Linked DNA regions of Coturnix japonica. The protein of the gene in region 1 interacts with the protein of each later gene in a biochemical or structural test. Links are inferred from orthologs where the notes say so. Each region holds a gene or a part of one and is shown in the gene's direction. Other genes may lie near its edges.

What was found.
Region 2: the proteins of MED1 (region 1) and HNF4A form a complex in vitro, tested with the Homo sapiens proteins (2 studies listed by BioGRID). The link is inferred for Coturnix japonica from reciprocal best matches to the Homo sapiens genes MED1 and HNF4A.
Region 3: the proteins of MED1 (region 1) and ESR2 form a complex in vitro, tested with the Homo sapiens proteins (2 studies listed by BioGRID). The link is inferred for Coturnix japonica from reciprocal best matches to the Homo sapiens genes MED1 and ESR2.
Region 4: the proteins of MED1 (region 1) and ESR1 form a complex in vitro, tested with the Homo sapiens proteins (6 studies listed by BioGRID). The link is inferred for Coturnix japonica from reciprocal best matches to the Homo sapiens genes MED1 and ESR1.

Annotation. Positions count from the first base shown.
Region 1 is NC_029542.1:3,841,054-3,848,469, reverse strand, and holds the start of MED1 (mediator of RNA polymerase II transcription subunit 1), read left to right. Parts: upstream 1-2,752; 5' UTR 2,753-2,929; coding exon 2,930-2,957; intron 2,958-3,814; coding exon 3,815-3,921; intron 3,922-4,380; coding exon 4,381-4,459; intron 4,460-4,843; coding exon 4,844-4,898; intron 4,899-5,028; coding exon 5,029-5,161; intron 5,162-5,487; coding exon 5,488-5,516; intron 5,517-5,870; coding exon 5,871-5,942; intron 5,943-6,051; coding exon 6,052-6,126; intron 6,127-6,422; coding exon 6,423-6,496; intron 6,497-6,840; coding exon 6,841-6,930; intron 6,931-7,068; coding exon 7,069-7,180; intron 7,181-7,416. Other genes in the region: CDK12 (cyclin-dependent kinase 12), read right to left, coding at 951-1,996. UniProt on the Homo sapiens protein: Component of the Mediator complex, a coactivator involved in the regulated transcription of nearly all RNA polymerase II-dependent genes.
Region 2 is NC_029535.1:4,771,812-4,779,004, reverse strand, and holds the start of HNF4A (hepatocyte nuclear factor 4-alpha), read left to right. Parts: upstream 1-2,424; 5' UTR 2,425-2,562; coding exon 2,563-2,683; intron 2,684-5,768; coding exon 5,769-5,946; intron 5,947-6,716; coding exon 6,717-6,811; intron 6,812-7,193. UniProt on the Homo sapiens protein: Transcriptional regulator which controls the expression of hepatic genes during the transition of endodermal cells to hepatic progenitor cells, facilitating the recruitment of RNA pol II to the promoters of target genes. Activates the transcription of CYP2C38.
Region 3 is NC_029520.1:48,167,410-48,174,693, forward strand, and holds the start of ESR2 (estrogen receptor beta), read left to right. Parts: upstream 1-2,515; 5' UTR 2,516-2,778; intron 2,779-2,786; coding exon of another isoform or gene 2,787-2,827; exon of another isoform or gene 2,828-2,939; intron 2,940-7,284. Other genes in the region: MTHFD1 (C-1-tetrahydrofolate synthase, cytoplasmic), read right to left, coding at 2,787-2,827.
Region 4 is NC_029518.1:44,171,486-44,178,668, forward strand, and holds the start of ESR1 (estrogen receptor 1), read left to right. Parts: upstream 1-2,414; coding exon 2,415-2,848; intron 2,849-7,183.

The DNA of each region.
Region 1 (7,416 bases):
CCTCCTTCCACACAGCTCATATTTGGAGCAGAGGATGCAGCACAGTGCAGAGCAGTTCTATAGTTATTACATTCCAGGTCGCATCTTAATTGCCATGGAGCTACAACCAAAGCTCCGCAGCACCCATGGTGACAACAGGAAACTCACTTAACAGAATCCAAAGCTAGAAAGAAAAAACATTAGACCACATATTTGTGTATGTAACAGGAAGATTAATGAGCATCTGAAATAAAACAGAGTCAACACAGCCTTCAAATAATAGTTTCCTTCTGTAACAAGATTACTATCTAAAGAAAGACAAAATGTAGATGATTTCTACCTGTTTTTTCCAGAATGCCCCAATTTCAGAAGGGAAAGTAGTAACTCTAGTACTGAGAAAGGAAAAGTTTAAGCTGAAAAGATGGAGTTTACATGCGCTCATCTAATTCAGGGAGAGAGGAAAGAAAAAAAGTCAGTTCAGAAAGAGCAAAACACACAGAATACAAACAAACCTCCTAAAGAGTGAGATCAGATTTCCACACGCAGCAAACAGATAAGGGGTTCCAGCAGAGGTGAACACATTCCTCCCATTGAGCTGCACAGCACTGAGGAGCATCCGGGCCCTGTGCTGCACAGAGCTCCCCCCCTGCCAGGGGGCCACCTCCAGAGGTGAGTGTAACTCAATCCCCGGGGCTCGCTCTGTCCCTGGCCACTGCTGGGAGCCAACATGGATGCTGCTCAGTGCCAGCCAGGAGGTGTTTCCTCAAGGCTGAGCACCACTGCAGGAAACAGCAACGAACCTGACCCAGAGTGATTACACACCGTGCTGCCAAATCATGGCACTGCTCCAGAGCAGGCCCAATCCAGATGCAGAATAGGGTTAACACCCAGCCACCCCAATGCATCCTTTCCCCCCCCCCAGTCCCTCCCCCAGTCCCCAAGAGGAAGAAGTCACAGTGGAGAGCACACACCTGGCTATGGGGCTTCGGCTCACGGAACGCTTGGCAGCAAAAGGGCTGCTGGAGCGCCTTCGGCTGTAGGGACTCGGTGAGCGCCCGCTGTACGATCCACTCCCCCTCTCATAGCTCGACGAGCGCCTCCTATTATAGGGGCTTATGGACCTCTGCCTCCGGCTGTAGGGACTGGGAGACCGTGTGTTGGACTGGTAGGCCACGGGTTCCTTGTAGGGTGGGCTGATGGACTGCCGGCGTGACGAGCCGCCGGGGCTCTTCCTATAGGGATCGTAGGTACTGGACGTATGAGAGCGGGGCGGGCTGAGGTCATACTCCTGGACGTAGGAAGCTCCAGAAGGGCTGTCATCCAATTTTGGGCTGTCCAACCATTTTCTATGGGGACTTCTAGATTTCCGTTTCGGACTGTCAATGGTTTTATAACTTTTGGGAGCATCCCTTTTCCGATGGCTTTTACTTCGCTCTTTGTGGCTGGACTTGAGCTCCCGATCCTTCCTGGACTTTTCCTTGTGCGCTTTGGCTGAGCGGGATTCCTTGTTGCTGCTCTTTGAGGACGGGGCCTTCGGGTGCTCCTCGCTTTCAAGCAGTCTCTTAGAGGACCCCGATACCCTGTCCTTGGTAGACCCGGACCTGCTGGAGGCCTCCAGGCTCTTTTCCAACTTCCTCTCTTTCTCTGCCTGTTTGCTCTTCATCAGCTCACGGATACGTTTGTGCTGGTGGTGTCGATGTTTCTGCGTCCTTTCGCTCCTATCCGCTTTCCTCTCCTCATTCTCCCTCCTGTCCAACTTAAGGGCCAAATCATCCGAGAACGTATCCGAATCCGAACTGATATCATCGTATTCCACCAACGGTTTGATCACAGCTCCCAGAGGCGCCGCCGTCTCTTGGGCGGCCAACGGTGACTCCTTGGAGTGCCGGGATTTATGCCTCTTATGCCTTGAAGCCACCCGGTGCCTCTCCTTGCTATTGGAGCTGCCCGATGAGTGCAGCGAGGTCCCCCCGCCGCCCCCATCCTTCTTCCCCCCATGTCTCTCTTGGTTTGGCATTCCTCCTCCTCCACTGTGCTGGGACAGGGGGAGGCGGGGGCGCTCCTCCAAATCCTCCTCGACTTTCCAACTCCCTCAGCCTCCCTCTATTCGAACCATTCACCGCCCCCCGGCACCTCCTGCTGCATGGGGAGCGGGACGGAGAGAGCGAGGAGGAAGGGAACAACGGGGAGAGGGAGAATGGGAAAGGAACGGAACCGGGAGCGGCGGGGAAGGACACCGGGCCTCAGCGCCTCATCCGAGGGGCCCAGGCCCGGAGGGCAGCGCCGCCGCGGGGGGAGCCCCGGGAAGGCGGGAGCTGGGCCCACGATCCCTCCCGGTCCCGTTGTGTCCGGTTCCCTCCCGCCCTGTCCCAACCCTCAGTACCGGGTTCCCACCGTGCGGCCCCGTTCGGTCCCCGCCGCCCCGGCCCGGCCCAGCGCCCCCCGCTCACTTCCCAAAGCGAAACGGCTCCTCGGCCCAAGGGGGGCACCCGCCAAGTCTCGCGAGATAACTGCTGCTTCTCGCGAGACTCGGCCTGAGCCCTCCCCCCGCGAGATTTCAAGCGCTGAGAATTGGGAAGGCGGAAGGGAGTGCGCGCGCGCGCACCGTCTTCTCGCGAGGTCTGAGAACGAACTTTACTCCGTCCCGGGGAGCGCACGAAGCCCCGCCCCTTCCGCCCGCTCAGCACCAATCAGCATCCAGGGGGCGGGGCTTGAGCGCAACGCCCCGCCCCCTAATCACTCCCCCTTCTCACCATGACTCCCTACCTCTCGCGAGACTCAGAAGTTCTCGCGAGAAGCGGGAGCCGCGGCCGGAGGGATGGCGGCGGGCGCCGCCGTGTGAGGCCGGAGCGGAGCGGCCCGGCCGCGGTTTATCCCCATCCCTTCCCGTTTATCGACGTGATACCGGCCCTGTGGCTCCGCCGCGGGCCGCCCCTCCCCTCCCTGAGGCATGAAGGCGGTGCCGGGAGGCGCTGAGGGTGAGTGCGGCCTAGCGGGGCTGCGCTGTGTGGAGGCGGAGGGAAGGCCCGGCCTCCTCGGGATGGGGGGGGTTCCACAGCTCGAGGGACGGCGGTTGGGCCTGCAGGGAACGGCGGAGCCCGGCCGTGGGGTCCCAGTGGGTCTCTATGGGGTCTCTATGGGTCCCTATGGGTCCCTATGGGTCCCTATGGGGTCTCTATGGGTCCCTATGGGTCTCTATGGGTCCCTATGGGTCTCTATGGGATCTCTATGGGTCCCTATGGGTCTCTATGGGGTCTCTATGTGTCCCTATGGGTCCATACTCACCATGTGTGGGTCGTCGGGTCCCCTCCCCACTTTGGGTCTCTATGGATCCCTATGGGTCCCAGTGGGTTTCTATGGGTCTGAATGGGCTTCAATGGGGTCCCCATGGGTCTCAATGGGTCTCAAAGCTGGGCATTAAGCAGCTCCAGAGCGGGGCTGTGGTGGATGGAAATAAAGGCTGATGGGCTCCTGTGGTAGCGAACCGTTCGGTTGTTTGTTCTGCTTTGATTTGATGGGGTTGGCATTAAGTCCATGACATCTGTGTGTATCAGTTTATAAACCCTTCTGATTCTATAGGCCTTGTAGGGTCATGTTCTATGGCAGTTATGTTGCCATAGACTTGTGTTGGAGCCAGAAATACCTGGTATCAGGGAGATGCCTTCCATAACAATGTAACTTAATAAAGTGCTACAATGAGTTTTAGAGCCCCACAATGTATAGATTGGATTCAGCACACATTTATAAAGGCTGAGTGTGTCCCGGCTTGGAAGGGCTGTGCAATCAGCTCACGTTCTCTTTTGTTTCTATGTTTTCATTCCGCTTTGTCTGACAGAGGCAGAGAAGCTGAATAAGATGAGTGCTCTCTTAGAAAGACTTCATGCAAAGTACAACCAAAACAGACCTTGGACTGAAACCATGAAGCTGGTCCGTCAAGTCATGGTGAGAAGTGCTGGGGTTTCCTTTACAGTGATGCTCAACACTCAGTGTTATCTCAGTCAGATGCAGCTTTGAAATACCTTGGTGAGGGTAGAAAGGAGTGGGAGGCAGGGAAGAGCATCATCAAAAGCTGCTGTATGTGTTGTGGTGTTAAAGTTAATCTCTCTTTGTTTCTCTTGCTCCTCTCATATAACTCGTAGCTTATGCTATTTAAGAAGTTGTTGCAGTCTGATCTTTCACAAGAGCAAGCTTAATAATCAATTCCAGACCTGCCTGTTTTACCCACTGCAAATATGGATATGATTCTGGTACAGGAATCGCAATGAGGGTGTAATTTGGGGATGAAATCCAATCTGCCTTTAATTACCTGAATAAACCTCACTCGACTGAATGAAAATTGCAGTAATTTTCCTCTCATGGAGTGAAACTTTAAAACGACTGTTTTTCTTCTTTCTGACGTAGGAAAAACGACTTGTGATGAACTCTGGGGGGCACCAACATCTGGTGAGCTGTTTGGAGACCTTGCAAAAAGCATTAAAAGGTTGGTACGTGCTGTGCCTGCACTCAGGAAATGCTTAACAGTGATATACTATGGAAATACTCTGTATTAGAGGAACCTGCGAGGTTATTGCTTGCAAAGCTCAGTGTGCTCGTGGTGCTTATAGAAGCATGCTTATTTCTTGTGAGTCATTATCAGCCAAAATTGCCTGTGTTGCTTTTATTCTTATTGCCCATACATGGATTCCACTTGTGGATGAAAATCCACACTGAGAATGTTTGTTTTTCTCTATGCAAAACGATTCTTGTTTTTTGAGTATGGAGTGGGTGTGAGTAAGTAGTTGGGATTGCTTTTAATGCTGATACATCATTACTGGAAAGATGTTCAGTCGTATCACTAAGGCTTATTTTTGCTTTCTTTGTCTAGTGTCTTCTCTGCCTGCCATGACAGATCGCCTGGAGTCCATAGCCAGACAAAATGGGTACATCTTCTCCTTTGTTTCACAGCAGTTTTGTATCTCCTACTTATCTGTATACATCATAATTTTGCTGCTGGTTTGACTGTTTCTTGTGTGTATCTCTTAGTAATTTTTGCTTTGTTTTGTATTTAAGCCTTGGATCACACCTCAGTGCAAATGGCACCGAATGTTACATCACTTCAGACATGTTCTATGTGGAAGTCCAGTTAGATCCTACAGGGCTGCTATGTGATGTCAAGGTGGCTCACCATGGAGAGAATCCTGTGGTACGTATTGCTAAGAAATACAAGAAAAATACCTTTGTTTTTGGAACTGCAGTTTTGCTTCCCTTTTTCTTGTGCAGAGAAAATGGATTGTACTGAACATTCCCCCAAACCTAATGTTATATCTGCTTGTTCTGCTGCTTCTGAAAGTTTCATTTCTGGGGGAAGAATAGGGAAATTAATCTTGTATTTGTGAGTGTTTTGTTGCTTCTCATCAAAACTGATGCTCACAGACTTCACTGTCCTGATATTTTACAGCTGCTGTGCTGCACAAAGACTTACACTGAAGCATTTGATGTTGATTTTGCTGTGTGTTCTTTCCTTTTCAGAGCTGTCCAGAATTGGTGCAACATCTGAGGTGAGCAACAAGAGCTGTTGCATCATTCTGATTTTGGTCTGATTCTGTTTTATGCTTGGAAACACAGAACGTTTCTGAACTGCTCTTTCCCCATGAAGTCTCTCCCCTTCTCCAGGAGATCTTCTGGCTTTGCTTCAGATGTTTCTCACCCTAACTGCTGTGCATGTTATCTTGGAAGGCACAGCAAAGCGTTCACCAGAATCATTAAAGCTGGATCATTTAAAGAACGCATTGTTTAGCTTTCATATAGCAAAAACCTATTCTGAAGTGATTTAGTGTTTGTATTAGTGTAACCTCTAAAAACAAAGCCTTATCTACAACAGATCTGAATACATTTCTCTCTTTTACTTTCAGAGAGAAAAATTTTGATGAGTTTTCTAAGCATCTGCGGGGGCTTGTGAACCTCTATAAGTTGCCAGGAGACAAGTAAGTCTAGAATATGCAATGTATTTACAACTGCGTGTATGAAAGCGAACAAGACTTCAAGCCTTTTAATTTTTCTTATGGTTTCTTCCTTTTTTTTCCTTATTCCCAGCAAACTCAAAACTAAAATGTACTTGGCCCTTCAGTCCTTGGAGCTGGATCTCTCAAAAATGGCAGGGATGTATTGGTAAGCACATTGTTACCATTTGCTGCTTGCTTTGTGGTGGTTGAGTTGCTGTATCACGTTGCCTGGTTGTTAATCATGCCAAGCACTGTATATCCATGAAGTATTGTACCAGTGCCTATGTATTGGCACTGTATTGTATTACACTGTTGCTAAAAAGTACAAGTCTGAAGTCTAAGAAAGGCTGTGCTAGCAGAGGAGAGCGGTAAGAGGAGATCTTCAGACTTCCATCAGCACATGAGTTGTGGCTTCAGATGTGGTTTTGGCTCATTACAAACTGGTGATGGCCTCTCTTGCAGGCAAGCCACCAATGCAAACCCACTGGACAAGATTCTTCATGGCAGTGTTGGCTATCTCACCCCCAGGAGCGGAGGTATCTTTGGTTAACACTTAAGAAAGAAAGGAAAAGATGATTTTGTCCAGGGTCCCCTTTATCGATATTAACCAATGATAATAATGAAAAATGCTAATCATAGAGGGACAGGGTGGTGGAAGATTTGTAAGTCCCACATGATCTAGAAAGCTGGTTCTCCTTTACAAAGCCATGCATAGCAATACTGTGCCAGTTGGCCATGTCCAGTCTTTGACAGCTCTTTCAAGGTGCTGTAGAAGCTCTGTGCAGAGTTACAGTGCATATGTTATGTGCTTACAGGGGTTAATAACGATTGGGTTCAATTACATCATCCAGATGCTTGTTCATAAGCCTCTCTCCTTCAGGTCTCCTTATGAATCTCAAGTATTACGTCTCTCCCTATGACTTATTTGAAGATGGCACTGGAGCCCCTGTTATTTTGCACGAGAGCAATGGTAGGTCACTTGTGAAAGCCACTGCGGACTACTCTGCTACATGGAGAAACTGATGTATTTCCACTTGGGATAATTTGTAAAGCTTTGGTTTTTATTCATCAGCTTACCTTGTTCTTTGTTTCTTGCCTTGTCTTGCAGTTCCTCGATCTTTGGGTATGAACGTGTCAGTGACAGTTGAGGGAACCATGGCGATGTACAAACTTCCCATTGCGCCGCTGATTATGGGTTCTCATCCAGTGGACAGCAAAGGGTGAGCAAAGGGCCTGTCAGCCAGGCCTGTCTTTGGTCTTATTTAGATGCAAATCCAGACTTCAGCCTGGTTTTGAAGTTAGGATGGAGAGATGACTGCATTATACTGTAATATCTTGTGAAGCTGAGAATTGTGTGTTTTGGTGTACTTTTGAGGAGTGTCTTTTACTTTTTAAGAGAGTATAACAATCTGCTTGTATTTGAGAAAAGAGTAAATTGCAAGTCTGGCAGTCATAG
Region 2 (7,193 bases), on another chromosome or scaffold:
TTCTATTCCCGATCCTCATCTACTGATAAGTACAGGTCTTATTTTCAGGGAATTCCCTTTCGCTTTGGATTAGTTTGCCAAAGATATAAAGTGGAATTTGTGTCATGAGGTGCTATAGTGGAAAAAGACAGAAGGATTTATCGCTCAGCTGATAAAAATCAAATATTCACTTAGCACAGAAGGCTGCACGCCCTGGGGCTGTAATGGCTCCTCTGCAGCCACCTCCTGGCATAGCTGGAGGATACAGAAAACATCTCTATCCCAAAGCATCTGCGGCACATCGTGATCCTATTAACTACTATAGGGTGCGGTGACATTGGCAAGCTGACCCCAAAAGCCACCATGTGGGGATGTGGGACAGAGACATCCAGCAGCTCAGTTTCCAGGCAGGGTCTCTGTGCCATGAGCCCATCCCCAGGGCAAAGGAAGTGCGTAGTGTCCTTCACCCCAGTGCTGAGACAAGGGTTTTGTGAGGGGGCACCAGTAGCAAGAAAATAATAGCCCACATAAACCCACAGATGGAAAACTCTGCATCCCTGCCTCGTGAGCCACTAATGCTCCCCAAACTTCCCCGCTCCTTATCTGCCTCTCCTGCACACAGTGCCTCTCCGTCTTCTGTTCCTGGCTCTCTTAACCCTTCCCACCCTTAGGAGCAAATGGCCTTATTTTGTCAGCAGGCTATTGAAGCAAAAGGGTTGTTTTGCTGAATGGAGCAAAACGGGCCATGCTTTTATGGTATTTTACTAGACACTGTGGCAAATCCTGCACATATTTGACCAAGTGTCTGTAGCATTTATCTAATCAAAGGGATCACTGTGGCCCAAGCAGGGCTGGGACGGAGGTCCCTGGGATGAGGCCACCTCGGGGCTGTGCTCTGTCTCACCACCTCCACCCTGGTGCACATCGTTACTGCAATTTTGGCTCAGGGCTGTTGCTGCTACAGGGGAGAACCACTGACTGCATGAGAATAGAGGTGCTATTTTCCCAGCAGAAGATGATCACTTACTGCCAACCCCAATTAAGATATCAGGAGCTTTTCCTTGCTCTCTGTTTTGCTCCTTGGCTGTAAGGTAAAAGCACTCCCTGGAAGCGGTACATGATGGGAGGCGAGGACTGCCTGAATAATCCTCAGTGCTCCTAAACGTGATCAGCAAATCACTGCACCAACAGCACGTTTCACTGTGGGGCCACGGACCTCAGGGCCACACTGTGGCTAGGAGGGGTTGGGGAGTCAGGGCTGTGCTGGTGCACTGAGAAGCACAAACACAAGCAAGTTTGGAGCCCAAATTGGCAGCGTGTGGACTCGGTCACCTGGTGCTGATTGTGAAATCAAGGGGATGTTTTCAATGCAGAGCGAGCTGATGCTGAATCATTAATTGCTTGTTTTCCCGTGCCATCCAGACGACGCCGTTGGGTAATCAATTAAATCTTGCATTGTCATGTGGTGCAAATTGCACTGAAACTTGTCAGCCCTGCAGAGGAAAAGCAGGGGGCCCAGAGAGTTCCTGGGGTGGGCAGGGGGGAAGCAGGAGCCCTGCTACTCAGTGGGGTCCTGACACAACACCTTGGTGATGCCAGCAGGCGTGATGCAGCGGAGAGCTCTGCTTGGCTGAATTCATAGAAGGAAAAATCATGCTGCAGAGTCAAGCCCTGCTGCACCATAAAACACCCAATGAAACTTTTAAGAGGCCAAAGCCAGGCCAGGGTGTGTGTGACAGCAGGCAGCCCATTGCCAGGACAGAGCAGCCTGGCTGTGCCCAGCGCACCCAACCAGCCCCACTCGTCCCTTCACTATCCCTTCTGTTGCGTGCCTGGCACTCAGGCAAACCCTCACCCCAAAGGTTGTTTGGGCACAGCTCAGGAGCGGGACCTGTTTATAGGGCATTCAGCCCCTGTAAAACTGGGTTTATAGGGAAGTAAAATGAGTCCTACGTTGTTACTTTGCATAGCAACGTGTAAATCGCAATGTGGGTGCTGACCTTCCCTGGGAGGGAAAGGGAGAGGAAGGGAAATGCTTTGGGAGGGAGGGAGAGAGAGAAAGGAGGGATCAGGAGTGAAGGCAAAGAGGGGAACGCAGAGGTAGGAGTGGGGCACAGCCTTGTTTCCCAGGCAGGGATTTTTCCAGCCTTCCCAGCACTGGTGCAGCCCAGCACCAAGGTCAACAGCCCCACAAAGGTGTTCCCTGAGTGGTGAGTGCTTCTCCCCGTGTGTTCCTGGGAGCTGGGATCAGCACAGCGCCTCGAGATGCAATCATAAACAGTCAACAAGAATCACTGCAGCTCCACCAAAAAGAAAAAAAAAAAGCCAAGCCAACAGCCAGGCAGCAGCGTTAGCCAAGTCAACAGCTACAGCCACCCAGCGTTAGCAGTGGGTGAGATGATTAAAGATTAACCCCCTGCCTCCACCCCTCTGAGGAGTATAGGTCTTGAGGCTCAGCAAATCCTTTCAGAGAAATATTTGAAATAAAAGACAACAGATAGGGGACGCAGTGAAGGCACAGAGAGGCAGAAGGGCCAATAGCCTCGGACAAGGGAATCGGCACAATCTGGCCCGTGTTTGCCGATGATAATGCGCCTTTCCAAAGCCCTGATAGACATGGAGATGGCCGATTATAGCGCAGCGCTGGACCCGGCGTACACCACCCTGGAGTTTGAGAACATGCAGGTGCTGGCCATGGGCAGCGGTAAGTCCCCTCCGGTGGCGACGGGACGATGCATCCCCAGGGTGGTCACTGAATGGACTGAGGAGGGTGGGGGGCACGGTGGGGATCCTGCTGCCCCCAGAGGGAAAGCGAGGTGCCAGAGAGGTGCCCTGGAGCCTCGGGAATGGGATTTGTGGTTCTCAGCAGCCTTCAGACTGAGCTGAGGGCAGAGGGGTCTTGTCAGTCCTGGGCTCCCACAGAAAGGAATAAAAGAACCAAGAAGTGCCAACAAACTGCTACCTGTGGCTCAGCAGAAAGCCAGCCCTGTTCTGTAAGAGCAGCTGGAGCTGAATCTTCCCAACAGCAGAAAGCTGCTTGGTGCATGGCCAGGGTGCAAATCATCCCAAAATGCCACCCAAGGGCTGCTCTGAGGCCATGGCCCCGCAGTGCTGCTGTTCAGGGGGAGCACGGGGCCTGCAGTGCTGCAGGGCTAAGGGGGGGACCCGGCTGGAAGGGAGACAGCAGCCCTGGTTAGGGGGAGATGGGCTCCCTCAGCAAGGTGGGATCACACTGAACCTGCTAGAATTTGCAATAGTGGCCCATCCAGTGCAGCGCCAGCAGCACAGCTTTCCTCAGGATGAAACTCTGCTCCCCATGAAACTGAAGCTGCACATCTCCCTGCCCAGGGCTGGCCCTACATGCCCCAAAGCCACTCCTTAGCCCCACCAGTGAGCAGCTGAACCTTTGGGACAAGGCACAGCTCCACTCCCAGCAGGGAGAAGCCAGGGGACCTGCCCTGCACAGGGGCTGTGAGCTGGGTTCTGCTACATCTGGGGGTCCTACAGGACTGGCCCAGGCACAGTGTCACATCCCACAGCCTATGGGCAGATGAGCCAGCTGGGTTATGGGGCATTGGCTCTGTGCTGCATGTGCCCAGCACCTGGCAAGAGGCAGGTACCACACAAATTAAATATAACTCCAAATGAATGGCCATTAAACTCACTTCACCACAGCAGCCAGAAGTCCATGTTTCTGGCATTATAAAAGTAAGCTTAACTGGAAAGTTATCCATTAAGAAATTGTTCTATTTCTGGTCAGCTCTTAGATCAAGAGGGTGAGATTTCTTTGGTAACTTCCTTACCTGTTTGCAGCATGATACACACACTGCTAGAGGAGATTTATGTGAACCATCACAGATGAGCATAGTGATTGGGTATGGGTTGGCTCTGTTTTCCTCTCTTGCAAAGCTCCACATTTCAATGGAACTGAAAACCTAACATTCTTCCTGGAAGAAGCATCATCCAGCATCACCCAGCTGAGCCCTTGGAACGCAGTCAGAGGAAGGACCTGGGAGGAAAGCTGCTCGCTCTGCCCTGCAGGACTGAGGGACACATGGGCCCGGCACTGAGGAGCAGAGGAAGGAGCCTCCAGAGCTGGCACAGGAACACAGCTCCTCAACCCTGCAGTACAGCAGGGTGTGCCGGGCCTGGAGAGAGCAAACTGTGACTCAGGAGAGCAATAGAGGAAAGATGTGAGGAATTAGAAAGAAAGCAGGCAGGGAAGTGAGAGCTGCTGAAAGAGCTGGTGGAGATGCCCTGCATGAGCTCACTGCTGGGATCACAGCAGGCACCCCAGGTCACTTGTACCCACACATCTACATCAAGGGGCAGCATGAGGAGGTTGTGTACATCCTGCTGCAGAGCCCACTTCAACCCATTTCCTGCTAAGCAGAAACTAAAGTTGAAGCCCTACACCTGATGTACTTACCTTAACCCTCTACAACTCACAGTTCCCAGTCAGCAAAGGCACCCCCCATATCCTGGGACCAGCCCTCTCAGAGCATTTATCCTTCTGCAGCCCCTCTCTGATGGGAGCCAGGTGGGAGCAAATGCGGCCCTCCTGGGTAAGTGTTAATTGCATCCCTGCCAAACCCAATGGGGGTGTGGGGAAGGAGAAGGTGAGAGGGGAGATGAGGAGCACTGAGCTGTTCCCCATAGCCTTGGGGAGGTCAGTGCTCACCCCTCAAAGTGACTGCCAGGCCCTCAGAAATGCAAGGTGAATGTTCTCTGGGAGCCCTGTTGGTTGTACAATGCCCACCTCTGTGCTATGGGATGCAGGCTGGGTCACGAGCAGTGCCTGAGAGGTCCTCCTTGCTATTCTGTCATCCTCTGACCCTCTGTTGGCCTGCTGATCTCCACTGCTGTCCTTTGAGAGGGCTGTTAGGATTGACATATTCCGGTGTTAAAGTCTCAGTAGGTTTCTATGGCTTTGTAGATCCTAGGTGTATCATTTGCAAACGGGATTTCCTCTGAGTCCCATGCTGATACAAGAAAATGTGCTTGGGAGGGGACAATTAGATCAACTGAATAGTGAGCTGATCCCTTCAGCCTTGGGGTTTGTTTGGCTTGCCGGAGGGATTTTAGTCTAGGGCTTGTATGGTTTTGAGCCTTTCAGGTGTTCTCTCCTACACAGGCTGCTGCAATTCCCCACCCTCCCAAAAACACACTACACATACCAGTCCCCTTACAGCTTGTAAGGACTGCAGGGTGCATCTCACATCCCATACTCTGGAAGGTACCCAGCATACAGCCTTCGCCATGTTATAGTGCTGTCCTTTCTTTCTGGGTTGTCCCAGTCAGTCCCTCCTCACATGGTGGGTATTTGTCCATGAGTTCTCCAGCTGAAGCCATATGCAATTATTGTGCACTAACAGCCTCTTGAAGCCTCTTTCAGTGCAGTAACACCAACACTTCGCTATCAAACCAGCAGCTCACCCCAAGCTGTAAAACCTCAGCTCAAACTGCACCAACTCGTTCTCTGGCCATACTGCAGAGGCCCAAAGCATCTGCAAATCCCCCAGGAATTTTGGCTGTGCTTTGTGACAGCTGCAAACGGGTTTCTGTGTATCCTGAAGGCATTGCTGGAGTCGGGCCTTTGGGAAGAGCTGCTCACCCTGGCGCAGCAGCAGCATTAGCACATTCGAGATGCAAAGACTTGGGACACCCGGAGCACCCACCACTTCTTATGACCTGCTGCAGCTGCCCAGTTCTTTGGTAACTTGCTGGAAAAGGAGTTAGGAGTTGTCAGCTGTCTGTCTCACTGTGTTCTTGCTGTGTCCTTTCCCAAGCAGACACATCTCCATCAGAAGCAGCCAACCTCAACACTTCCAACAGCATTGGGGTGAGCGCACTGTGTGCCATCTGCGGGGACCGTGCCACAGGGAAGCACTATGGGGCTTCCAGCTGCGATGGCTGCAAAGGCTTCTTCAGGAGGAGTGTGAGGAAGAACCACATGTACTCCTGCAGGTAAGGGCAGAGGGGAACAAAACAGCACCCAGCAGCTGTGCAGCAAAGCTGAGTGCTGCAGCATGGCCCTTCATCTCCTCTGTATCCTCCAGTGTCTTCCCTGACCTCATCCTCTGGCGATAAGCTCTGGACTTAGTGCATGTGAAGCACACGGCTGCTTGCAAGGCAGGGCTGTTTAGGCTGTCTGTCCAAGAAGACCCCTCCCCACAGCTCTAGTGGGAAAAGCCAAGGCTCCCAGTTCTCCTGACACCAGATCTTTTATGACAGTGCTTAAAGATCTGCTTTCTGGCATCCATTTGAGCAAATCTTAGCTTGGGGCTTTCAAAAGTGTGTTACAAACAGGCCTTCCCAGAGCTACAGAACTCTGCATGGCTGGGAGCCCTTTCATAGATCTGTATGCCTTTGTCTTTGCAAGCTTGATCAATCAGCAGCTAATCAGAGCATATTTGCAAGTGAAATTCATGCTGCAAATGGCTACCAGGCTTATGCTGCATACGGGAGATCAGTGTAATGCACCGTCATCTGCAATCAATGTGGTGATACAAGTGGGTAGGGAAGGAGCTGGGTGCTTGCCATCTCCTCTCTGAAGCACAGGCAGCTCAGAGCTGCTTGTGTGCCAGCGATGCTGTCCAGAGGTCAGCAAGAACCTCCTGGAGCCAACACTGCCTTGGAGAGATGTGGGGACTTCAGCCCACTTCTACCCCTCCCCTCTCCCCCTCCCCTCTCGCAGGCTCAGTCTCACTGCTCCTCACTCCTCTGTTTCTCCCCAGGTTTAACAGGCAGTGTGTGGTAGACAAAGACAAAAGAAACCAGTGCCGATACTGCAGGCTTAAGAAGTGCTTCCGAGCAGGGATGAAGAAGGAAGGTGGGTGCCTTCCCCTCCCTGCCCTCAGCACAGACCAGCCCTCCCTCATGGCAGGACAGGGAGATGCTGGATGTTTCCATGAGCCCCAGGCAGGTCCAGCTGCCCACTTTAAGCCATACAGAGCCCTTGCACTCAGTTAAGCTTCAATCTCAGTTCCAGGGGCCCTATTCAGATGCCAAGAGAGAGCCACCAGCCCATGCCCATGTCCCAGAACTGACCACCCCCCCCCACCTTGTACCCACAAGTCACATCCACAGCTTTCAGCTTCTCACACTGAGATGCACGAAGCTCAGAAGAGGCCTGAGTCATTCAGGAGCACTTTGGGAGAACTGCTGTGTCACCTACAAATCCATGTCTGGACAGGTGGCTCCAGCAAAGCGTG
Region 3 (7,284 bases), on another chromosome or scaffold:
CTTGAAATTACTTGCTAGACAGCCACCTAGCGTTAATTACTGCTGCTTGCTAGTTACCAGGAAAGCCACGGTTGCAAAGTTCAGAGAGAAAATTAAGTGAAAAGCAACTAAAAGCAGTCTCTGTAGTTTTGCAGATACATGACAGAATAATTCAGATCTTCACGGAGATAAGAAAAAAAAATCATATTGACAAATTTATTAGTAGTACCAACATTTATTCGAGTTTTCAAACATTAGTTGGCAATTGGACAGGGCTGCTTCTCCAAGAGCCTTCCCTCCTCAGACACCTCCTGTACTTCTGGCTCTTCCACAAACAAACTCCCACTGCAAACACAAGTCCAGGGTCCACACGGGTTAAGGACAGCACATGGTTTTAAGCATACAATGAAAAAGCCAGTTCCAAAGATTAAATCAGTTGTTAGCCTTTCTTTCACTAGACTGCAGAAGTGAGCAGAATTTAAATTCATGCAGTGAATTTCCCAGAATAGCTGAGGACAAACCACCCTCCTCCAGTTCTGCTTGAAACACAGAGAGAGAGAAGCACAGCTCTCATGCCAGGATCTCCCCAGGCAGATTCCACCACACCTGCTGGATTCTTTACATGTCATGGCTTGGGTAGCTGTGATGTAAGTGGCACCAAATTTAGGATAAAAAAATAATCAGGTTGTATTTCCATCCCTTCTGTGGACTGTACTTGATGCTGCTGAACATATGACCTAGCCTAGCTTTGTTTGGGAGAAGATGCTGTTTAGACAACAGAGCTGCAATCAATCCACAAGTCTCCTGCTCTCACCTCACACTCAAGTTCATTGTAATACATCCAATATCTCTCACAGACTGAATAGAAGAGCTTGTTTCTACTGAAAGAAGATGCCTTACTCAAAGTATCACTAACTTAGGCAGCAAAATCCTACACAAATCACAATGCCTGCTGCTCTATATGTTCTCCCTTCCACGCATGATAAAATCACATCTACTATCCTCACATATATTGACTGATTTCCTTTGTGTCTCTTCTGAACCTTCAAAGACTTTCTAGATATTAACTAGCTTTATCTCCTGAGTAAGTTATCCTTGATCTCAGAGACAAGGAAGCACCACCTTTCTAAGTATCTTCTCTCTTCAACTGACTCACAAAAGTAAGAATGTCGCTATTTACCTTTTTGCTTTTTATTTTAATAAATGACATGACTCTGAGTTAGCCATTTCCTTCACCTTTCTTTGGAAGGGGTGGCTGGTAGCAGGAGAAGAAAGTTGATAGGACTTAGGAGTTCTTCATTTCAAACACATACATAAACTCAGAATTAACTAGCTGGAACACTGACTCATTGATTCTCCTTGTTTGTTAATATTTGACTGACTTACAAGCAAAATTTTAACAATTAATGCCTAAAATAATAGAAAATAATAGAAAAACCCTACCCTTGTAACTAAAAGGACTTTGCAGGTGATGTACTGAGAAACACACCCTTACTATGGCAGAAAAATTCAGTTGAGTATTCCTAGAAAGAGCACATGCCTATCACTTGCTTCTTTCTTTCTCTGATAGACTCTTGGCCTGACAGTGGTTCTGCATGTTGAGAATCCTCTGGCTCAGCACTTCTCCATAGGGCCAGGAAAAAGAGACATATCTGCACGTGGACAGTCCATTTCCTCACAAACACTCCACTAGAGAAAAAATATGTGATACCTGGAGGCCATGATACAGTTTTGCTACGTTGAGCATAAATACAGGAGATGTAAAGGAAATGAAAAACATCTGTACAGATGCAATTATTTTCCCCCAATTTGTGCTGTTTTCAGGTCAAGGTTCAATGTCTGCTCAAAGACAGGCTTCAACCAAGAACCTCAGAGCTGTGCTGGAAACTAAGTAATCCTTTCTCCCGCATGCACCTATTACAATCTTGCTTTCTTTCAGGTGTTGGAACACCATTCATTTCTTGTAACAACCGCTAATGTAATACTGAAAGCAAACAGAAATAAAAGAGTCACCACTATAACTATAAATTAAAAAGATGAGCCCCAACAACTTCTCAGAGATTATTTTAGATCATTTGTCCAAATCCTGGACAAATACTGGAGCACGTTACCCACTGGAACAGGTTGCCCAAGGAGGCTGTGGATGCCCCATCCCTGCAGGCATCCAAGGCAAGGCTGGATGTGGCTCTGAGCAGCCTTGTCCAGTGACTGGAAACCCTTCCCACAGCAGGGGGGTTATCACACCCTTAGCTAAATTCTGCATTTTCCTTGTGTAAGACCAGCAGTGTACTCACATATAGTGCATGGACATGTACGCATAGCAACGTACTGCAGAGCAGCAATAGGGAAAATAAGCAAAACTACATGGCACGAGGCTCAGGTGAGTGAAAGCTGAAAGCAGAAGGAAGTCTGACAAATCTTCCCAACAGTTTTGACAAGTATAATGGGTTCCCTAGATCTACCTGTGCCCGTGAACCACATGTTAACACTCATCCTCATTTTATCTGATCCACAGATTAAATTAATTAGCTTTAAAAAGAAGCAACCAATACTCTGAAAGCAGTGACCACCCCTAAGCTGCCAGCTCAGGCCCAAAAAGCATCCTGAGAGCACAGAGAAGAGGCAGTGGTTGCAACTTATCGCATCGGGCTGGGCACTTAGCACAGAGATGCCGAACAACTACGAGCCATGGGCTGACGCTGGACGGGGCCAACAAGAAGCAGACCCCCACGCTGAGCCCTGGGGAGGTCTTATGAAAGGAAAACCTCCCTCCCTCTCGGCAGACCCTGCGAGAAGAGGGTACGTACGCGGAGACGACTTTGCCGCTGAGAACCTCTGCGGGGGCCATGGCGAGGGTGGGAGGGCAGCAGCCAAACGCAGCAGGGATCCGAATCGCTCTGCAGGACACGCCGACCCCCACGTGGGCCCTAAACTTTCATTTGCAACCACAGCGCAAGCGCTGCTCCACCCCGGCGGGCTGCTGTGCTGTGCGTGTCCCTCCCCTGCGTTGTTCACCGCCCTAAGGATGGGGGGAGCAGGGAGTTTCTTAGCGAGATGGGAGCCCCCGAGTTGTTCGGTGCTGGCTTTAGTGCTGCACGGTCCCTGGATGTGCACAGAGGGGGTCTGTGCATAGGGATGGAGAAGCCGCCTTTGCGCTGTGCTTTGTGCTCACGCAAATTGCTGGTCACTTATTAAATAAGTCAGCATACGTATAACTTACAGTATGTTATGGTCTAGGGTTGCAGATGGCTACTATGGGACCCTTCAGACTTTGCTAAGAGTAAATGGTTTTTCATTCAGCCGTTTTATCCCTCAGAAGGATGTCCTCTAAGCAGTGGTGCCGAGGGAGGTGTTTCCTTGTGAGGCTGCTCTGATCTGTGCAGTTCTCCATTTTATATAACCAGTGCTCTGTGTTAACCCACATGTGAACTGTGAAAATCAGCTTTCTGTGCTTTTCTCATGGAGATGGGACGGATTGTTGGATACCATACACTGAGGCTGCATTGCTTGTGATGCCCCCAAGGAGCTGCACAGCTCATTGGTTTGTCTGTAGGATGTGATTCAAGAAAACAGTGATTGGGGACAGGGAACTGACAGAACAGGGCTCTGGGCAACCTGATCTAGTAAAGGTGTATGTTTGGTGGCCCTGCCAGGCAGGGGGGTTGGAACTACATGATCCTTGAGGTCCCTTCCAACCCGGGTCATTCTGTGATTCTGTGAACACAGTTGGTGATGGGATGGAGCAGTACTGTGTTCCCATCCTACTCTAAGGCTTTATTCCTGTTGCTATGTGGTGTCAGTGCAGCAAAGAAACTGGATGATCGCTGCAGGTTCACAAAGTGTGGAGGACAGGGGTTTGATGTTAATACAGAAACAGTCCCAGTGAGAGTTTAGGACTAAAAAAGCCTGTTTGAAGTGCATTTTGGAAATGAAAGTTGCTGGTCTAAAGGGTTTGCTGAGAAAGCATTCAATCCTGCTACAACACTGCATTATGCTTCTCAGTGCTGTAATCGGGTCAAGAATGGATTTGGGGACCTGTCTGATTTTGAGAGGAGTGGAGTACAGCTGTTGCAGTTTCCATCTAGCTCACAATGCAGTGAGGATGGAAATATACAGGCCTTCTGTTTTGGAAGCTGAGAACCTCCAGGGTTGCTTCTCTGTTATTCTGGGAGGGTGATATATACTATATACCATATATTGTTCAAAGCTTGTCTGAGGATAAGTCTTTCCCGTGTGTTTCCTTTTGTAGCATGTAGGGTGATGACTGTTGTGCTTTTTTCTCTGCTTTCTTTTTTTTATTGAGGGGAAAGCTGGTTATTTCAAGTGGTCAAACCAGCTGAAGTTGAAACCATTTCAATTGTAGGAATAAAGGTCAGAAATTTCTCTTTAAAACTGACTTGGAAGAAAGGGAAAACTGCATTCGGGGTTTTTTATGCTAAATTTAAAAAGCTAGAAATAACCTTTTTTTCCCTCCTTTCTATAGTTATTCCTTGTATTTCCTGGGATGTTCCAATAGACAGTTGCAGTGTTACATGATCCAAACTGAGATTATACAATTAACCGAGGGAGGGGATTTTTCTCAGCTGCTTAAAATTCTGTGCCCTGTTTGTTTCTCCTGTTGCTTTTATCTGAGGCCTGAATGAACTCTCGGGGAAGGAAAAAAAAGTGTTCTGGAATAAGTGCTAAAGACTCTTTGAGTTGAGGGTAGTACAGGCAAAAACAACTGCTGCTAACAAAGGTTTGATGCTGAAGATGGTAACATATAAATACCAGTGGGAAAAGAAAGCCCATTTATTTAAACATATTCCAATGGCCTTGTTTGCAGAGTGAGCAAAAAAAAGCTGGTGCCATCAGAAACTGTAGATGCCAACAGTTTGCACATGTCTTTTCTTTTCTCTACTTTTCTTAATGGCCCTGCTCCTGAATAAAAGATGTCTCACAATGACACATAAAATGACCCGGATTGTAAAAGTAATACCAAACTAACAACTTCTTTTATCATCTCTTTTTGTTTGAACCAGATTCTCTTTTCACGAGAAGGAAGAGACTCATGAATTTTAACTATTTATGACAGTAAATCAGACTGGCTGATCTCCTTTTATCATAGCAGAAAAATCTTCTTTATTTCTAACTTGTTCCATGCAGCAGTCAAGTACTGGAGCTGAAATTGTCACTCAGATGCTGTGTGTCATACATTTATGTAAGAACTTGTTCTTTAACTTTTAATTGTCATTTTGAAGTTGAAATACTGGGAGTGAGATGGAAAGGGAACAGAATAAGGGTTATATGATGAGAAATGGCTCAACAGACCTTTTTGGTTCTTGTTAGAGCCATATCCAGCCCTGAAATGGAGGAAAACACTTAAGAGCTGCTGTTCTAAAGGAAATCTTGGAGAAACACAGTGACAAAGGTGTACCAATAGGTACAGCTGAAAGCAGTAATCAGTGTTTTATGCTTTCAATGCAATTATTTTGACCATGCTTATGCAAAACAATAAGGAATAAAAAATCTAATGCTGTGATAAGGACAACTCTGAGAATGATAAGCACAGTCTTGTATCAAAAAAGGCTTATTTTGTGTTGACTGTTAGGATAAAGGTAAAAACAGTTACTTGAAGCCTCAGAGAGGTAGATCTCTGCTCTTGAATGCAGCTCCACAGCAGCTGTTCTACCCCACTCATCTCCCTGCCAGGTGTTCCTAAGTTTGATTTGGTAACTGCCACATTTTGCCTGTTTACTCTTGCATCCACCCCCTCTTACATAACATGTCAAAAGTCACTGAGGTTGCTCTTTTAAAAAAGCCACGAAAGCTGCAAAATGTGTGCCAGAAAGACTTGCAATGTTACTGATGAGCTAAGAGCAGCGCCTCTGCTTGCACAGGGCCCCAGAGGTTGGAATCTGTTATGGGCAACTGACCCCACATCATCAAATTGAGGAGTAATGTTAGTCATTGCTTCACCCACTGGTTAGGACAGGATATCACCTTCAGTATAGGGAGAATAGATTAATTTCATGCATTTTACTTTCTTTAGCAAAGAGGGATTGGACAAATAAGTGATGTTTCTGTAGAATGTAACTTCTTTCCTGTGACGGAGAACACAATTTAGTAATGGGGGAGTGGTAGCATTAACTTCTTTCCTGTGACGGAGAACACAATTTAGTAATGGGGGAGTGGTAGCATTAAGATTTATGCTATTGGTCAACTGTACCTTTGATCAGATGACAGAACTGTTTGACGTGAGGCTTGTGATTGACCTCAGTGTACGTGAGCCCTCATAGCTAAGCTGTGTTATTGTAATGCTAGAAGGTATGATCTAATATTTGTTTCCATCATGAGGTGTTTCTGTAGTGTAGTTAGCCCCTTAAAGTTGAGTGCATCTGTCACAGGCTCCTTTCTGTTGGCTTATTCTCTTGTTGCTCCTTTAGCTAATTCTCTTTAGATACATCGCTTTACCTTCAAACAGAAATCTAACAACACTTCCACTTGATCTCTTAGGAATCCTGCAGAACAAAAATGTCCCATTAGCAGCTTGATGAATTTTGTGTCATACATGATTCTACTGAGAACAGTGCTGGAGTGCTTGATAATGTGGGCCCTGGGTTGTCCTGACTGATGTAAAGAGACAATTCGGAGCAAAGAAAGCATTTCCTTAGTAGTCCTCTCGCATAATAACCATTCCTAATACTTCTACAGCATGTTGTGGCTCTCCATGCAATAAACAGCATCCTAATTCTCTGTCCCAGCCTGACTGTGAGTAATGCATTATCACATTTTCCAGGCAGGTAGATGAGAAAGAAAGAATAATCGATTGTCTAAAGCAAAATATAAGCACAAGCACTAGATTGTCATTTCTAATTCTACCTTATTGTCTTTGGCTAATGATTTATAGTTAATGGCTTGTGGCAAAATTGGATCTTCCCTCCTTTTTGTCAGCTCCTAAATTTCACTAGGTGTCTCTGCACTGTTTTCTATGTAAATTATTGCTATACTGGTTCTGCCTTTCTGAGTGTGGCTGCCACAATGATATTTGGAGCAGGAGGCAGGGGGTGAGAGGTAATTTTCAGAACTGCAAGTGGGGGACATCTGGAAGGCAGTCTTTCCATTGAAGTTTAATACACACAGCATCTCAGATAATTCCTTCAGCCCAAGCAAGGGCATCCCTGGTAGAGCCAGGCAGCATTAGCTAGTTTTGTATCATCTCTGCATGAACCGTCACAGGGTGCTCTCTCAACCTAGCAACTTCTGTTTTTGTAGTGTCCTATGGAGACAGGATGGGACTGAACAGATCCTGAAACATTTATAGCA
Region 4 (7,183 bases), on another chromosome or scaffold:
ATGCAGCTTTTGCTTAATGCAACAATATGTTTCATTGTTGTTTTTGTATGGTAGAAATTTTAAATATTTGTGTCTGTGATAACACACAATCCTCCCAAAATAATTCATGACATTAAAAAGAAATTGCATAGAAAGAGCACTGAGGTTGCACAGGACACGTTCAGAAATCAGCTCTGTGTGCATACACTTCTATCTCCCCTCTTCTGCACAGCTATTATGCTTTAACGTTTTATTACGTGTCAAGGTAGTATTTCTGAAATAGTATGCACATCAGATAATGCTTTAAATAAAAAGTTAAAGTCTATTTTGTAGTGTACATAAGAAGCGGGCACTTCATATGGCAGACAGGCTCACATTAATTCTCAGATTATGCAGCATAATATGAGACAATGCTTCTTCTGTGTATTACTGAAGCACGAAATGAATCTATAAGAGTGACCGACCTTAAACTCGTAACTGCCATTCATTTCAGACTGTGTAGCCCAGCAGACAGGCTGTTGAGAGCTTTACTTGCTTGCTGTTTTGTGAGTCTCTGCAGAGGCACATTCAACCACTCTATGCAAACAGGCACACACTCTCTTTTTTTTCCTCTCACACTCTGGCATATTTTCAGAATAACTCTTCGAAGACTTTCTGAACTTCTGGGTATGATTGTCTATTATTATTATTATTTTTTTTTTTTACTGGGAATGTGTTTAGTCCAGTGTTATTTAAACAGGCTTATCTCTTTGATCAAAGTCTAGAATCTGAAATTTGAACAGGGTAGGGAGGGTGGTGGGGAGGGTGAGGAAATCTATCAAGTACATTTTTATGTGTGTGCTGCTGTCTTAGCTGCATGTCAGTAGAGGTACGAATATATATTACTTGTGTAATCTTGGAAATATAAGTGACTGCTTTTTAACAGAAGTTCTAAAACACCATATTATTACTAAGGTAAAAAAGATTATAGTAAACTTTTCTAGAAGCTATTAGTGACCTATACATTCAGTTTTCTGGTTTCTTGCATTTTTTCAAAGGTTGCATTGAATAACTGTGGAGTTGTTTAGTGTAGGCTTTGCTCGTATTCAAATCATACTAACTCAAGTCCATATATTAATGTGTTTAGGGTCAACATTAACCTGTTTAACTGAGTGAATTGCAGACCACAACAATGATGCTAGAGAAATTGGGACGGTTTCTGAAGGTTTTCATTTAGCTGGTTCAGGAGATGTGGTTTGTGAAAAGTTAAAATTATTTGGGATGAGATTGCAAGATGAGGTATGCATGCCACACCTTTTCATTATGTCCTTTCTCCACCTTTTTTTTTTTTTTTTTTTTTTTTTCCCCTAAAGATAACTTTGAGAATTATTTCAGTTTACTTTAACACTGATTCCAATCAAGTACTTTATTTTCAAGTTGATAGCAAAATCTAAGCTTGCTGAGCTTTTGTTTGTGGGAATAGAAAAAAATAAAATAAAAAATCCTGTATTCCTTTTTTGTGCGCTGAAATCTTTCTTCCTAGTTTCTAAGGTCTTACCATGGCAAAGTCTGAAAGATGCTTTGCTTCATTGTTTTACAAGGTAAAACAGAAACAGACAGGAATTTATGGGCTAATCTAAATTTTTTCCTCACTTTTTTTAATGTAAATTTTCACTTCACTAGTTTGGGTCACTGTTACTGATAAAGCTTGTTATAAACCTTTTGTCCTACACAAATCTTTTACATTCTTTAATTTCTGTTAGCTAGTTTTGTTGACAGAGACTTGTTACACACACAGATGCATGCGCTTGCACATGCATTTTGCTTTGCCATATCTCAGTTACAGCATAGTCCTATCCAGGGTCATTACAATGTACACATTACATATTTCTAGCAAACATGAAAATGAATCAAACAGGGAGAGATAAGCACAGATAGATTGGAGCCTGCTGAGGAAATAAAAGGCAGTAATCTGGCTGACCACTGGACTAGTCTTTCTGGTCTGATTTCAGCGTCCTTTCCCGTTAGCTGCTGTGGAGTGCTGGCTGCCCTGCAGTGAAAAATTAAATGACTAGCAAGAATAAAGTAACATTTAGTGGGACAATTGTTTGGTGTACCTCCAAAACTAATTGTTTCTGAAGTGATGTTTAAATCAGCGTCGGCACAAGGCAAGAGCCCCTGGCTTGCAGCCAGCACCTTGTAACGCATATTAGAGCAGATGAGGAGTTCTCAAAAGTTAGAGGGAGAGGGAGAATGTGCCTTTCCAGTGCTCACCCTGCATTTGTTTGTATACTCCTCCTCGCCGAGATCAGAGGAATACCTGTGTAGTGCTGCTTTAACATGATTTCTGCTGAGCCTCAGAATAGGTTCTGGTGTTTTTTTTAGGTGGACTGCCAGCTGCCGATCTTGCTGTTGACAGTAAAAGCAGATATGTTCCTTGCTCCCTGCCATTAGCAATGACCATGACCCTTCACACCAAAGCCTCTGGAGTTACCCTGCTGCACCAGATTCAAGGCACTGAACTGGAGACTCTGAGCAGACCTCAGCTGAAGATTCCCCTGGAACGATCGCTCAGCGACATGTACGTGGAAAGCAACAAGACAGGAGTTTTTAACTACCCAGAAGGGGCCACCTACGATTTTGGTACTACCGCTCCAGTGTACGGCTCTACTACACTCAGTTATGCCCCTACTTCTGAATCTTTTGGGTCCAGCAGCCTGGCAGGATTTCACTCTCTGAACAATGTCCCACCAAGCCCAGTGGTGTTCTTGCAAACGGCACCCCAGCTCTCACCCTTCATCCATCACCACAGCCAGCAGGTACCCTACTACCTTGAAAACGAACAGGGCAGCTTCGGGATGAGGGAAACTGCTCCTCCAGCCTTCTACAGGTAAGTGCAACAGAGAATTTCTCTTTCTTCTTTAAGCAGCTATGCTGAGAAATCAGAATATTGAAATATGTCTGCCCTACACTTTCATTTTTGTGTAAAGGACTGTGTAATCTTGTGGAATCTTCCATGATATCGGGACCATAAAAATAGCAGAGGATAAAACAAAACTGTAACTCACAGCTTACTGTGCCTGTGATCTGTAAATAATGAAAACTGTAAGTAAATGGGAAACAAATTAGATAATGAGTGTAAATGTTTCCTGGGAAAACATGAAATCATAATTGATTAAGGAGTGGCAAACAATCTCCTTGTTGCAGTATATTAAAATTACTGTCTAGAAGCATACTGAAAATGTGCAATTGGCTGTTTGTTCAGCTCTTAGCTGCTAGTAAGAGTATTACTTACCTCTGGTATCCTTTACAGGATAAGTGACTTATATAGGAAGTAGTTCACAGGCACAATATCCTTCCAAATCAAACTGTTTGAACTGATTCAATGACAGTATTTCAGTCAGCAACCACTTTAATGAGCTGCAATAAGAGCTATGTGCCTTGCATTTTTAATCAAACTTTGATATATATTAAGCATAAATCTAGCATGCTGCATTTCAAAATAATTTTTATAAATTTAAATATGATTTCTTTTTAAATTTATATTTATCCTTCAATAGAAGAATTTTAATACGCACTGGAAATTGTGAAAGCATATACTTAATTTCTGACATATGTGTGAGAAACTGATAGAACTGTAGCTTCCAGGAAAATATAATCAAACACACCAGTACTCACATTGTTAATCTTTGTGCACTGTTAATAGCTTAATTTTTTACTGGCATATAATAATGGACTATAGCAAATTAAAGTGAACGGTTAGCTCCTAAATGCTGTCCATGTCAGCTTATTTGTGAAATACAGGTGATTTTTATACAAATGGAGAGACCCTCTAAAAATAAAACCAGGTTATCCTTTCCCTGTCGAGGCCAGACTTAACTGTTGCTGGGAACAGCAATGTAGGTTATTAAACACAGTGTCACGCAACCTGAGATAATCTTGTAGCAGAATCTGATCCAAAAAAACAGATGGTGATTGCACTTTTTGCAAATGATTAATCGGTTTTGGGGATCAAGTGGAATAAAGACAAGTGAAAAGATAACGGTTAGGCCAGGCAGCCCAACTAATATGTCTCTTAGCTGAACTGATTCAGACAAAATGTATTTTAGAGCAACTGAAGGCAATAACTCTAGGAGGAATTAATGTACTTGAACATTGAGTATCTGGATTGTTTAACAGTGATGTGGGTGTGAAAGTGTGTTTTGCACTAGATTCCATGTTGTTTTTATTTTATTTTTATTTTTATTTTTTTTTTATTTTTCAATATGATTATCCAGGGCAAAACTCTGTTAGAAAGCGTTTAAGGGACATGTGGTGTGTAAACAGCTGAACAGTGAGTTTGTGAAGCTGAAATGCACATGCAGGAAATGGGCTAAAGTGAGGGCTTTTTACTTGAGGAGGGAGAAAAACCAAGAATCAGTTGGAAATGAAAACTGAACTGTGGAAATGGCATTATTTTATTTTCTAACAGTGAGCGGAGGTGGGACACTTCAAAATAAAAATGGCATACATTGTAGTAGTAACATTCAGGCACTGCAACAAGCATTAAAGGGCAGCGGTGTATTCCCATTGTCCTGATGTTTTCAGTCAAGGATAGGCATGTCCTTTCAAGATGCATTTTAGATGTATATAATATATGAGGCTTAAAGCAGTGGAAATTAGGTGAATGTATGATCTTGGTTGTGCAGGTGGTTTATCCGAATACAGAGTTACAAGACTGATTTAATGGCCTCTTCTGGCCTTGATTCTGTATTGCACATTTGACATGGTAATAGGAAATGTGGAACAAAGTCCTCCCCATGATTATCGTCTGTTACGAGGCATAGTACTGTTAGGATTAAATAGACAAAGCTTTGCTGTTTAAAAATTTCACAAAGACCATATTTGGGAAGTTGTCATATTGACAAAATTAAATGTTAGGTTCTTATTCTTGTATACCAGTTATAAATAGTATGCTAGAAATATTCTAAATAGGTGTTCGGTGTCTGGGAGACATCTCATTATCTAATCATGAGGTACAAGAGCAAGTTCTTTCAAAAATTTTAGTGCATTATTTTCCAATTTGCTTTATTCATTTGTCTGTTCCAATCCCACCTGAATTCAAAAGAGAACATAAGGCAGTGTAATCTGGCAACAAACACATAGATTTTGGAGATTTGAAGATGTCTAAGTAACAAAATGATGAATTTCTGATGTAACATACTAGTATGAGTGGTAAAGGCGTAAAAAACTAAAACCAAAGCCATACAAAAATTTAAATTCTATCATGATCAGTTTATGATCGCTTTCTTGCTGTGATAATAAGTAATATAACCAGAGTCTCAAAAAGCCCCCTTGAAAATTCTTATTTGCCCTTTTGGTGCAGCAGTTGTGCTGTTTAGCTTGCAATACTGTAAAGTTTGAATTGCATCCTCCTGTTATACACTGGATTTGAGATGCAAAATAGTGCATTCTCTGATACAAGTGACTAGGACAATAAATATTCACTGTAGATTGGTGCGTGCTGAAATTGTATTTAGCATATACCCAGATAAAATGCTCAAAGTATTCAGTCACAAAAATAAAAATATTTCACATGTAATAAGGAAAATTTTTAATGTTGTTGCATTTAGTTAAAAGCATTGAAAATCACGCTATTAACACGTACTAATTTACACATGCGTATTAATACTAAAGTTACATTTTATTTCTTTCAAATTGTGTTTTAATTTCAAAAGACTTTATTTCTTATTGCAAGATAATGACAGACTTCTATGTCCAGCTGTAGAACATAACAGTACATAGAGAAAAGAACAAATGTTGTAAATAATAATAATTAAAAAACATAGCACCGGTCTCTTTCTTACTGTGCTTTCTAAATCACAGGTCATCCGAACTTGAGATAAGAGAATGGGTTTAATTAATTCATATTGTGCTGTCTTTAGCCTGACTTTTTTTTTTTTTTTTATATCTGACCTTGTGGCTGGTTTTATAGGGAGCCAAATTAAAATACCTTTCCCTTATCTTACAGTGTCTGTATCTTTTCGCAAGGGGGAGAAGGTACAGCACTAGTAACGTTTTTAATTCTCTTCATATCTTACATATATTTTATTTTCTCCAATACCTTTTTTTAGTAGTGGTTTTATTAAAGGCAGTTTAGTCGTTGATTATTATTACAGGAAATCCTGCACTCGTGGGTACTGTAGTAAACTAATTGAAAGATTTCTTTTGTTCTTAACTATTACGTTTGGGTTCTGGTCAAATTATTTCCTTATCCTTTTTGTCAGGCTTTTGTTCATTCATGGAAATACCATGAAGGCATTCAGTACCTAATTTACCTTCGTATATTCCTATAACAACATCGAAGATGAATTTTGTTGTTCTTCCAGTGTGCAATGCTTGAGTGTTATCCCACTGAGTCTGCACATCTCAAATAAAATTCTGTCTGTATTTCAGGCTCTCTGTAGCCTTTGGTGCTGCTTCCAAATCTGACTGAAACCCATGTGAAATGAGGTGGCTCTTACCAGCTACCTGATGAGGGAGCTTTTTGTTTTTAGTGAGTGACAGAGATGAAAAGTCAGCATACAAGCAGAAATATTAGATGAAAAATCGTTAGTTACTTCCTCTAGTACCTCAAGCTCTGGAATTAGATTCAGATAGTAATTTATTTAGCTTAACTCCTCATTATCACATACATATGTCTCTTCTGCATTTCATAAACGTGTTTGTTTTTTTTTATTTCAACCTTACCTGACTCATTATGAGTTTTTATAGCTGCTCATACTGAATTTTAAATAATGAGGATTTTCTCAAATTTTAAAATTAAAAGAATGATAGAATGAATAGAAAAATCAAAGGACAGTGAGTTTAGGTGTTTGGTTTTTTGTTTTTGTTTTTTTTTTTTGGTTTTTTTTTTTAGTTTTTTAATTTTTATTTTTTGTTCATAATGAAGTATGAATTATTCCAGAACATGAAGGAATACTGTGCATGATAAAGTTGCTTTTCTCTAAAGCAACAATCTGTTCTCAGGTCCTCGTCAAGCATCAGTGAGGTGTGATATTTGACCAGAGTTTCCTCAACATTCAGTGTTTTTGTTTTCAGAGACTGTCCTGGTATACCTATTAATTTTACAGCAATAGGTGCCTATAAAGAAAGAGATAGGAAAATTGCATGTTTTTCTGTCTCATGGAAGGGCACGTTACAGTCATGAGGGTCTTGTAGATACCAACTTTTTTGTATTTTCAGC